3 linked regions of the Saccharomyces cerevisiae S288C genome follow. The protein of the gene in region 1 purifies or fractionates together with the protein of each later gene. This does not show direct contact. Each region holds a gene or a part of one and is shown in the gene's direction. Other genes may lie near its edges.

The links. The genes of interacting proteins can lie anywhere in the genome.
Region 2: the proteins of TRA1 (region 1) and EAF5 purify together in Saccharomyces cerevisiae (affinity purification with western blotting; 5 studies listed by BioGRID, with this or other methods). This does not show direct contact.
Region 3: the proteins of TRA1 (region 1) and SGF11 purify together in Saccharomyces cerevisiae (affinity purification with mass spectrometry; 5 studies listed by BioGRID). This does not show direct contact.

The regions. Positions count from the first base shown.
Region 1 is NC_001140.6:299,809-306,533, forward strand, and holds the start of TRA1 (histone acetyltransferase TRA1), read left to right. Parts: upstream 1-2,952; coding exon 2,953-6,725. Other genes in the region: SFB3 (Sfb3p), read right to left, coding at 1-2,126. UniProt on the Saccharomyces cerevisiae protein: Essential scaffold subunit of the transcription coactivator SAGA complex. SAGA acts as a general cofactor required for essentially all RNA polymerase II transcription.
Region 2 is NC_001137.3:119,785-122,810, forward strand, and holds EAF5 (Eaf5p), read left to right. Parts: upstream 1-1,686; coding exon 1,687-2,526; downstream 2,527-3,026. Other genes in the region: PXP1 (putative indolepyruvate decarboxylase family protein), read right to left, coding at 1-515; SUMO ligase MMS21, read right to left, coding at 714-1,517; PMP2 (proteolipid ATPase), read right to left, coding at 3,014-3,026. UniProt on the Saccharomyces cerevisiae protein: Component of the NuA4 histone acetyltransferase complex which is involved in transcriptional activation of selected genes principally by acetylation of nucleosomal histone H4 and H2A. The NuA4 complex is also involved in DNA repair.
Region 3 is NC_001148.4:464,287-466,761, forward strand, and holds SGF11 (SAGA histone acetyltransferase complex subunit SGF11), read left to right. Parts: upstream 1-1,675; coding exon 1,676-1,975; downstream 1,976-2,475. Other genes in the region: CAM1 (translation elongation factor EF1B gamma), read left to right, coding at 115-1,362; ELC1 (elongin C), read right to left, coding at 2,358-2,475. UniProt on the Saccharomyces cerevisiae protein: Component of the transcription coactivator SAGA complex. SAGA acts as a general cofactor required for essentially all RNA polymerase II transcription. At the promoters, SAGA is required for transcription pre-initiation complex (PIC) recruitment.

The DNA.
Region 1 (6,725 bases):
GCGTTTGGCTTCATTAATTCGCTTTTTTCAAATGCTAACATGTAAGCAGGCAATGTCTTTATAGAATCCGGCAGTATCAATTGCGTTGATGAGTTACTGCTAACCAATCCTCTATATTGGGTCAAGATTTCGACCATCTTGTCATCAATTAATCTTCTGATCTTTACAAAGTCACAATCACCGAGCGTCTTTATGACATCTTTGATCATTATTCTCATGACAGGATTTTGATTTATAAACTTGAAAATTTCACGAATGTTATTAGATACCGCACCTGACGTGTTAATAGAACGAACTTTTCTGACACCATCAATATCAGTATATAACAATGCAGTTTGGAAATGAACATCGGTTCCTGTTTTTATTTTACTGTCATATTTTAGTAAGACATCTAAGGTGGTATCTCTAGTCAATACAGGAATAATTGGATCATGATCCGTATTATCAGATGAATCGCAGTAGTACTGTTCCACAGATAGCCCAGTAGAACAGCGAACTTTCAATAAAGCTTGATAACCAACAATATTGGAGACATTTGTAACCATGTCGTTAACCAAAGTGAAGGCATCCGTCTCTTGTTGAAAGTGGGGATAATATTTCAAAATACCGGAAGTCATCTCTACAGGATGGCCCACAGTGGCCATATCAATGAATCCCGCATTGGTCACATATAAATCTAAAGAAATGTAGGATTTCAAAAAATCCGATGCTAATTTCTTATAGAACCCATTGTCGCATTTAACATGAGCAATGTGTGCATTGTCCCTTTTTAGCGATAAATTCCCGTTGCCGATCGTTGGCAAGCTGTTCAAAGAACAAATAATCTTACCACCTTGCCCGCCAGTTACTGTGTCTAACGCTAATTTTGCGGCTTGTAAAGCAGAACCATAACAGACTTGGGGTACGTGACTATACTTGTCGGTGGAGATGTAACCACTAATTTTTATCAATGTGTCATTAATGATTTTCATCGAGTTTCCGGGTTTAACAAATAATCCATTATAAAATGGTAAGAAAACATCGTCCAATTCACTTACAATGTACTCTTGTGCATTATCTAAATCTGGTCTCAAATTAAAGAACCGCAACTTATTATCATAAACGATTATAGCAACCTCACAATTTGGCTGGAAATCTGAAATATACTCAATACATGACCTGACACCTTCCACCATGGCTAAAGAACTTCCGTTCTCATTAGCTAACAATGAAACATCAATCAAAAACACGTAGTGTAGTGGTAAAAGCTCCTTCTCCTGAATAGCATTGTAAATACTTGGCACCAAGAAATCGACTGTTCCGTGCAATAACTCTGATTTTTCGTTCAAATCACTTCGTTGCCCATTGGGACCCATGGGCGCAAAATGCTCACCTGGAACTTGCATCTTAACTCTACAAATATTACAAATAACACTTGAATCATAAGTGAACTGAAATTTAGGATTAGCATACGCACGACAACGTCTACAACGCAAAGGCGTACCATCCATTGGTAATGGAATTGTGGGAACTTCTGCATCATTCGGTGTCAAAGTGGAAAATGGTTGGATGGTTAATCCAAGTGGTAGCTTCGTGGCGGCTCTCAAGTGTTCACTTTCGGGGATGTTGTACATGGATAAACTCATCAAGTGCGGATCACATGAACCTTGGTCAACACAATAAAACTGGGTGGTCGGCAAGGGCGGAACAGAATCTCTACAAGTTTCGAAAGATCGTTGTAAATATTGAGCTTGATCTTCAAATCTTTGAGTTGGAACAATGTGAGATGTAGGTTGAGGCGCTGTCATATCAAGCATAGATTGACCATATGGCGAGGAGGCCTCACTCGCACCGAATCGCTCTTGACTCACCATTACAGGCGTGGACATAACGGAACCCGAACCGTTGTTGAAGCCACCAAATTGCTTAGGGGTAAAGGCTTGAGGTTGTTGAAAACCATCCTGCTGATTCAATTGGGGTGTAGTGTAGGGTGAATTGCCCAAAGTAGGAACAGTGCCCGAGGAAAAGTTATGATATGCTCTGTGAGGTCTTCTACTTTTTTTGGAAGATGCTCCGCCCGTATGCACAGTAGATTCATCAAGAGAGAGCGCTGAAACACTAGCTGCCAAAATATTCTGCTGAGACATGATGGTCCAATATTCTTCTGCAAATGGCCTCCTTAGTAACCCTCAAAATTACTAATTTCTTCAGTTGCAAGCTCCGATTTGGTTGAATCAGACCTAAGTTGTTACAGCGTACGTGTTTTTTTTATTTATTTATTTTCTAACATTTTTCTCTTTGGTTTTTCCAGTTTGATCGTTCCCACGTTGAGACGAAACGAAGGAAAAAAAAGAACATTTTTTTCGCATTGTGCACGGAAGGCTTCACCTTCAATAGGGCAAACAGAAGGACGAGCTGCATCACTTTTAGCCGCCACTAATCAACTCCTTCAGATAGATCGCCAGAACGCAAATAAGTGAAATTTGAAGATCAACTTGAATCAAAAAGCCAAAACTAAGAATTGTACGCTACTCTGCCAGACAATATTTTACGGACACGCGCATTTCAAGACAAAGCCATAATTCATGCCTTTTCAACTAGCATCTGGACGCCGCTGAGATCATAGGAACAAACAAAACGCACGAAAATAGCTAACGCACGTATCGAATACCAAATCAGTCTGCATTTATTGTACCCTCAAATTACAAATTCAACCAACAATTGTTCAAAAGACCACCTTGAATCTTGTGTTTCCTAATTTGGTAAGTGATCACGTGGTCAGACAGTTTTCCAGGTCAAACTGAAAAAAAAGCTCAAGAACCATTTTTCTTTAATAGCCTTTTTTAGTTGTATTCTAATAAACAACACCAACAAAATCGGAGGTATCACACGTAATTACATAAAGAAGATTAAATTCAGAGAAGATCTATCACACGATATCTCCATAGTTACAAAGAATACCGCATTTTGCCGATGTCACTCACTGAGCAGATCGAGCAATTCGCCAGTAGGTTTCGCGATGATGATGCCACTCTACAATCGAGATATTCCACTCTATCGGAATTGTACGACATAATGGAATTACTGAATTCTCCTGAGGATTACCATTTTTTCTTACAAGCTGTGATACCTTTACTTCTAAACCAGCTAAAGGAAGTTCCTATTTCATATGATGCGCATTCACCGGAACAAAAGTTGAGAAACTCTATGCTTGATATTTTCAACAGGTGTCTCATGAACCAAACCTTTCAACCCTACGCAATGGAAGTGCTCGAGTTTTTACTTTCAGTACTACCAAAGGAAAACGAAGAAAATGGGATATTATGTATGAAAGTGCTGACGACACTTTTCAAATCATTCAAATCAATACTACAGGACAAACTCGACTCCTTCATACGAATAATTATTCAGATTTATAAAAATACACCAAACCTTATAAACCAGACGTTTTATGAAGCCGGGAAAGCAGAACAGGGTGATTTGGATTCACCAAAAGAACCACAGGCAGATGAACTTCTCGATGAATTCTCCAAAAATGATGAAGAAAAGGACTTTCCATCGAAACAATCATCCACGGAGCCAAGGTTTGAAAACTCTACCTCATCAAACGGGTTGAGGTCATCTATGTTTTCCTTTAAAATCCTTTCTGAATGCCCTATTACAATGGTCACTTTATATTCGTCTTACAAGCAGTTGACTAGCACCTCGCTTCCGGAATTCACTCCTCTTATTATGAATCTATTGAATATACAAATTAAACAACAACAGGAAGCGAGAGAACAGGCGGAATCACGGGGAGAACATTTCACTTCTATATCGACGGAGATTATCAACAGACCGGCTTACTGTGATTTTATATTAGCCCAGATCAAGGCCACGTCTTTCTTGGCTTACGTATTCATTAGAGGATACGCTCCTGAATTTTTGCAGGATTATGTGAATTTTGTTCCTGATTTAATCATAAGGCTTTTACAAGACTGCCCTTCTGAACTATCATCTGCTAGGAAGGAACTTTTGCATGCCACTAGACACATTCTATCTACAAACTACAAAAAGCTCTTTTTACCCAAATTGGACTATCTGTTTGACGAACGTATACTTATTGGTAACGGTTTTACTATGCATGAAACATTAAGGCCCCTGGCTTATAGTACTGTGGCAGATTTCATTCATAATATAAGATCTGAATTACAACTAAGTGAAATTGAAAAAACAATAAAGATTTACACTGGATATCTATTGGATGAGTCATTAGCCTTAACTGTACAAATCATGAGTGCAAAATTGCTGCTTAATTTAGTTGAAAGAATATTAAAATTGGGAAAGGAGAACCCACAAGAGGCCCCTAGAGCAAAGAAATTGTTAATGATAATCATTGACTCATATATGAATAGATTTAAAACCTTAAACAGACAGTACGATACAATAATGAAGTACTATGGAAGATACGAAACGCATAAGAAGGAGAAAGCAGAAAAGCTCAAAAACTCTATACAGGATAATGACAAAGAGAGTGAGGAATTTATGAGGAAGGTACTGGAACCATCCGATGACGACCATTTGATGCCACAGCCTAAAAAAGAAGATATCAATGATAGTCCCGATGTTGAAATGACAGAATCTGACAAAGTGGTGAAGAATGACGTTGAAATGTTTGACATAAAAAACTACGCACCTATATTATTACTACCCACACCAACAAATGATCCCATCAAGGATGCTTTTTACTTATACAGAACTTTAATGTCTTTCTTAAAAACAATAATTCATGACTTAAAAGTCTTTAACCCACCTCCTAACGAATATACGGTTGCTAATCCTAAATTGTGGGCTTCTGTTTCTAGAGTTTTTTCATATGAGGAAGTCATTGTTTTCAAGGATTTATTTCACGAATGTATTATTGGTTTGAAATTTTTTAAAGATCATAATGAAAAATTATCTCCAGAAACAACAAAAAAACATTTTGATATATCAATGCCCAGCCTACCGGTCTCAGCCACCAAAGATGCTCGTGAGTTAATGGACTATTTGGCATTTATGTTTATGCAGATGGATAATGCCACTTTTAATGAAATAATTGAACAGGAACTGCCATTTGTCTATGAAAGAATGCTGGAGGATTCTGGGCTGCTACATGTCGCGCAATCCTTTTTAACAAGTGAAATAACCTCCCCAAATTTTGCTGGCATCCTTTTAAGATTCTTGAAAGGGAAATTGAAAGATTTAGGAAACGTTGATTTTAACACTTCTAATGTCCTAATACGACTTTTCAAATTGTCCTTTATGTCCGTCAATCTTTTCCCCAATATCAATGAGGTTGTTCTTCTTCCACACTTAAACGATCTAATTCTAAACTCCCTGAAATACTCAACTACAGCAGAAGAGCCTCTAGTATACTTTTATCTTATTAGAACTCTTTTTAGAAGTATAGGTGGGGGCAGATTTGAAAACTTATATAGATCGATTAAGCCCATACTACAGGTGCTATTACAATCTTTAAACCAAATGATACTTACTGCACGATTGCCCCACGAGAGAGAACTTTATGTGGAATTATGCATCACTGTACCAGTTCGGTTAAGTGTGCTTGCTCCTTATTTGCCATTTTTGATGAAACCATTGGTATTTGCATTACAGCAATATCCTGATCTCGTTTCGCAGGGTTTAAGGACCTTAGAATTATGTATTGATAATTTGACCGCCGAGTATTTTGATCCTATAATCGAACCGGTAATCGATGACGTTTCGAAGGCCTTGTTTAACCTTCTGCAACCTCAACCATTTAATCATGCTATCAGCCACAACGTAGTCAGAATACTGGGCAAATTAGGAGGTAGAAATCGTCAATTTTTAAAGCCACCAACGGACCTCACGGAAAAAACGGAACTAGACATTGATGCGATAGCAGATTTCAAAATCAATGGTATGCCGGAAGATGTACCGCTTTCTGTAACGCCAGGAATCCAGTCCGCTTTGAATATATTGCAAAGCTACAAAAGTGATATTCACTACAGGAAGAGTGCTTACAAGTATCTAACCTGTGTACTACTGTTAATGACAAAATCATCAGCAGAGTTTCCTACGAATTACACGGAACTGTTGAAGACAGCAGTGAATTCTATAAAGCTAGAGAGGATTGGAATAGAAAAAAACTTTGATTTGGAACCAACTGTAAATAAGAGAGATTATTCGAACCAAGAAAATTTGTTTTTGAGGTTACTGGAGAGCGTTTTTTACGCAACTTCGATAAAGGAACTAAAAGATGACGCAATGGACCTACTGAATAACCTTTTGGATCATTTCTGCCTATTACAAGTAAACACTACGTTGCTTAATAAGAGAAACTATAATGGGACATTTAACATCGATCTAAAGAACCCAAACTTCATGCTAGATAGCTCATTGATTCTAGATGCTATTCCCTTTGCCCTTTCGTACTACATTCCAGAAGTTCGTGAGGTGGGTGTTTTGGCGTACAAAAGAATATACGAAAAAAGTTGTCTGATATATGGGGAGGAACTAGCTTTAAGTCACTCCTTCATACCGGAATTAGCTAAACAGTTTATCCATTTGTGTTACGACGAAACATATTACAACAAAAGAGGCGGTGTCTTGGGTATAAAAGTTCTCATTGATAATGTTAAGTCGTCCTCAGTTTTCCTAAAAAAGTATCAGTATAACCTAGCCAATGGTCTATTATTTGTGCTGAAGGACACTCAGAGCGAGGCCCCATCTGCTATAACAGA
Region 2 (3,026 bases), on another chromosome or scaffold:
TTTCCTTCTAAGGGTTTTTCATACTCAATAAAATCTGCAGGGACGTCTATGTAAGAAACCCCTGCAGTGCCTTGTATACAGTAATTCAAAGCCTTCTGAGTAATCATGTCAATATTGTCAGGGGTTAACTTTCCGGTAAACTTCAAAAATGGGGACAAAAGACTAACTTGATCCAACTCTTGAAACCCGCCTTTATGTATATCACTTTGAGAAGAACTCCCTGCAATTACTAGAAGAGGCCACCTATTACTCATTGAGTTGTATATACCAGCCAGTGCGTGGATTAAACCGGGGCCCCCGACAATAAGTAACACGCCGGGCTTATCACTAATATAACCATAAGCAGAGGCTGCATATGAGGCAGCCTGTTCGTTCCTGCATGGAATGAATTTGATACCGTTGGCAACCATCGTATCCGCTAGTTGGACAATAGGGATGCCCACAATTCCAAAGACTGTGTCGATGCCATATTTTTGTAAAAGTTGAGCGAAGTGTTGGGTAGCGGTCGTGGTCATATTGATGGATGGTTGTGACGGTTTGAATGTAGAGAGTATATTCTTCTTATCACATAAAAGTAACCAATGCCTTTTTTTTCCTTTATATATAATGTGGTTATATACCAACCTTTTGTAAATTTCCAACTTTTTTCTTTAGTTAGCTTTGCTTGAACTTCGGGCCGAAGGGCTCGGATAAGAGAAACAATAATTTTGTTTTCATAAAACATCGATGGCTTGACTACTTCTTTTATCCTGTTCCTGAGATTCTTTCATCTTGGCGATCTTACACCTTAGTTCCATAATAGGGTCTCTTACAAAATCCCTCATTGAAACGACTTGAGAACACGCTGCTTGCGGGCAATCTCTTGTCGTGTATCCTTGTAAATAGTTTTGAATGCCGTCTCTATCGAAGACGTGATTACATTTTCTTGATATCAATGGTGCTTCGTAAGGTTTGCAGGTGATAGGACAAGTCAATTCAATTTTACCACCTTCTATTTGTAGATCGTCTTCGTCTGCGGGGTTTTGCAGATCCGGTATTACACAAGTTGGATCATTCCATATGTACGGCAACACTTTTAGTATCTTGAGTGTATCTGTGTTATTAACCATGGTTGCAGGCTCTGGTGTGGGCATATTTAGATATAATTCAGATAATTTGGGAGCGGTGAGTTCTCCGGTACGATATTTATCCCAGGTAGAAAGGTCGATTTGCGGACAGGCATCTGAGGATTGTTTGAAATTTTTTTTTAAATCTTTAATATGTTCGTCAAATGAGTTGGATTCCGATTCGTATGTCGAGAGGAGTTTGTAGGTGCTAGTAATATCTGCGACCTGCTCTTCAATGCCGATGGTGGAAGGAGATGTAGAATCCACTAATTGATTTATGGTCTCATCAATTTGTTTGTAGCATTGTTGATATATATTTGATAAGTCTCGGGCATGTAAATTATGGAAGTACTTACCTGATTTTGGGTGTAGAGGAACTGACTTGGGTATAGGATTATCGTTCAAGGCCATTTTTAAAGTTATTCTTTTTTTATATAGTCTTGCCTTGGTTTCTTTAACTGACACGATTATTTTAGCAAGTTTTTTTCTACACAGGAAAAGAGGAAGAAAATAACCAGAGAAGCACTGGTAAAAAGATACTTCTGCGTGCCGGAGTAACCAGAATCAAAGGAACGCATAGATGGATAAAGAGGTAAGTGAATTGGTAGTGTTGCAGCTAATACACACTTTAATTTCCAACAAGAATGAAGAACTGGTTAGGAACGGGGGAGGAATCAACATGATTGGGAATAATCTTCGAATATCGCTAGTCAAGTTGACTAACGAAATACAAAACAATTTGCTAATCAACGAGCTGACAAATTTAAGAAGGCAAAGCAACGTGGCAAATGGAAACAGGAAACTGGGCATCAACGATATCCTGACCATAGTTAAGAATTTATTCCCAGAGTACAGAACAACACTAAACGATGGACAACTTAGTCTACACGGTTTGGAAATGCATGATATCGAGAAGCTCCTTGACGAAAAGTACGATCGATTCAAGAAAACGCAGGTCGAACAAATAAGGATGATGGAGGATGAGATATTGAAGAACGGTATAAAGACCGGTGCATCGCAACTGCAACCACATGCAAATGCTGGCAAAAGTGGATCTGCTGGTACCAGTGCTACTATAACTACGACTACGCCACACATGGCGCATTCAATGGACCCAAAAAGAGAAAAACTATTGAAATTATACAGAGATACCGTTCTGAATAAATTGGAAAGTAAAACTGGGAATTTTCAGAAGCTATTCAAGAGTCCCGATGGTAGCATTATCAAGAATGAGATAAATTACGAAGACATAAAGAACGAAACGCCCGGCAGCGTTCATGAACTGCAGCTGATTCTTCAAAAGAGCATAACGGACGGTGTAATGCGAAAGGTCATTGGTACGGACGACTGGAAATTGGCTAGACAAGTGCAGTTTGAATTGGATGATACGGTGCAGTTCATGAGAAGAGCACTAGAGTAAGGAGATAGTAGGCGACACTTCGAAAATCTAAAGTCTTGTAACATTACTATTATATACTATTTTATTAAAAAAATACACACACAATTCTTTAACAGAACAATATATAACAAATGAAGCGACATGTTTCTCAAAAAAAAACATAGTAGGTAGGTAAAAATGGGAAAGAACGGGACAAACAAAACGAAGAGCAGGGTGTATTTGCCCACACACGGCAAACAACATCCATTCACGCCCGCATGCCCAAAACTTTTTTGCGATAAAACGCCCACGCAAATCACATCGTTCCAACAGAGGAATCGAACAGCACAGATACAAAGTAGGAATATAGCACACACACAGGAAAAATTAATTAATTATTAGAAATTAAAAGGGTTGGGGAGAAAAGAGGTCTAATTTATTCATTAATATTCAGTAATTGAAAAAAAAAAAAAAAAGAGGATAACTAAGAGAAAACAACATCAAGCTCGTTTGGCTTGCTAGTGATCGCTTAGAATCTTTGT
Region 3 (2,475 bases), on another chromosome or scaffold:
TGGTTGTGTTGCTTGGCAGCCCGCAAATTGGTCTTCCCTCCTTGTTATTGTATTTTCTGTTATTAGAGCATACAGAACATAGAAACTCAAGATCAGATACAGTTTTTGCACGCCATGTCTCAAGGTACTTTATATGCTAACTTCAGAATTAGAACTTGGGTCCCAAGAGGTCTTGTCAAGGCTTTGAAGCTGGACGTTAAGGTTGTTACGCCAGATGCCGCCGCTGAACAGTTCGCAAGGGACTTTCCCTTGAAGAAGGTTCCGGCTTTCGTGGGTCCAAAGGGTTACAAGCTAACCGAGGCAATGGCGATTAACTATTATTTAGTAAAGCTTTCACAGGACGACAAGATGAAGACTCAACTTTTAGGTGCCGACGATGACTTAAATGCCCAAGCGCAAATCATCAGATGGCAATCTTTGGCCAACAGTGATCTGTGCATCCAGATTGCCAACACCATCGTTCCCTTGAAGGGCGGCGCCCCCTACAACAAGAAGAGCGTTGATTCTGCGATGGACGCTGTTGACAAGATCGTCGACATCTTCGAGAACAGATTGAAAAACTACACCTATTTGGCTACGGAAAACATCTCCTTGGCCGACTTGGTGGCTGCCTCGATTTTCACCAGATACTTTGAAAGCCTGTTCGGTACTGAATGGAGAGCTCAACATCCAGCCATCGTGAGATGGTTCAACACCGTTAGAGCCTCACCCTTCTTGAAGGATGAATACAAGGATTTCAAGTTCGCTGACAAGCCATTGAGTCCCCCTCAAAAGAAGAAGGAAAAGAAGGCCCCAGCCGCCGCTCCCGCCGCTTCGAAGAAGAAGGAGGAAGCCAAGCCAGCTGCTACCGAAACTGAAACTTCTTCCAAGAAACCAAAGCACCCATTAGAATTATTGGGCAAGTCAACTTTCGTTTTGGATGACTGGAAGAGAAAGTACTCCAATGAAGACACCAGACCAGTTGCTTTACCTTGGTTTTGGGAGCACTACAACCCAGAAGAGTATTCCCTGTGGAAAGTCACCTACAAGTACAACGATGAATTGACTTTGACTTTCATGTCCAACAACTTGGTCGGTGGTTTCTTCAACAGATTGTCCGCCTCTACCAAGTACATGTTCGGTTGTCTGGTAGTCTACGGTGAAAACAACAACAACGGTATTGTTGGTGCAGTTATGGTTAGGGGCCAAGATTACGTTCCAGCTTTCGATGTCGCACCAGATTGGGAATCTTACGACTATGCAAAGTTGGATCCAACTAACGACGACGACAAAGAATTCATCAATAACATGTGGGCCTGGGATAAGCCAGTTTCCGTCAATGGCGAACCAAAGGAAATTGTTGACGGTAAGGTCTTAAAATAATCTCTTCGTACTATCCTTCATGTCGCCTTTTATTATAAAGTATGCTAGGTAGTTTTATCTATATCTTATTTATGACGCAATATAGGGTAACAGAGTTTTTCTGCTCTGAAACTTCCGCAGAAAAAAAATCAAGTTTTCCTTTTCGTATCTTGGATTATTGTTATATAATAGATGCATGTATTATATGTATAGCAGTGATTTGCTTATTTTCTTGATTCTGAGGAATCGAAGAAGTAACTTAGCGTTTCTTCCGTTGAGCAGAGCAGTATAATAATCCTTCAAATTCTTTAGGTTACGGGGTTTTCCTGTTGCGATGACCGAAGAAACTATTACTATAGATTCTATTTCAAATGGGATACTGAATAACCTGTTAACCACATTGATCCAGGACATTGTAGCTCGGGAAACCACTCAACAACAATTGCTGAAGACAAGATATCCGGATCTTCGCAGTTATTATTTCGACCCGAACGGATCTCTCGATATTAATGGACTACAGAAGCAACAAGAGTCCTCTCAGTATATTCACTGTGAGAATTGTGGCAGGGATGTGTCCGCAAACAGACTAGCAGCTCATTTACAGAGATGTTTGAGTAGGGGTGCTAGACGTTGACACTAGGTGGTGGTTTATGGGTAATTGAAAAGGCACAGACAGATTTTAGCCCATTTCTTGTGGGCATAGGTTCATAAAAAAAGCAAGATTCTTACATTTTATGCGGCATATCTGCACATAGAAGTTCATGTAGTTATGTGGTAACATCTCAAAGAGAGAAGGCGAAAACTGTTTTAGCTATTAACTACATGTTTTTATAATAGCACCTCCCATATATGATGCCAAATGATACCTTGCATTCCGTTATGTGGAAGGGTTACACATAAGTACGCTATAACAATGCATTCAATTTTCTACATATCAGAGTAATATGCTGCAACATCACACCCATATAATATAATTTTTTGAAAGAGTTCCTAACTCTTTTTTGTTTTTCCTGTACCTATATACTCAAATAGTCCGCCGCAAGTAGCAGCTCTAACGACATTTCTGTCGGTATTTCAAACTCTGGAATCTCATCATCGTCCTCGCTAACGCCGCTGTACTTCAAATTATAATTT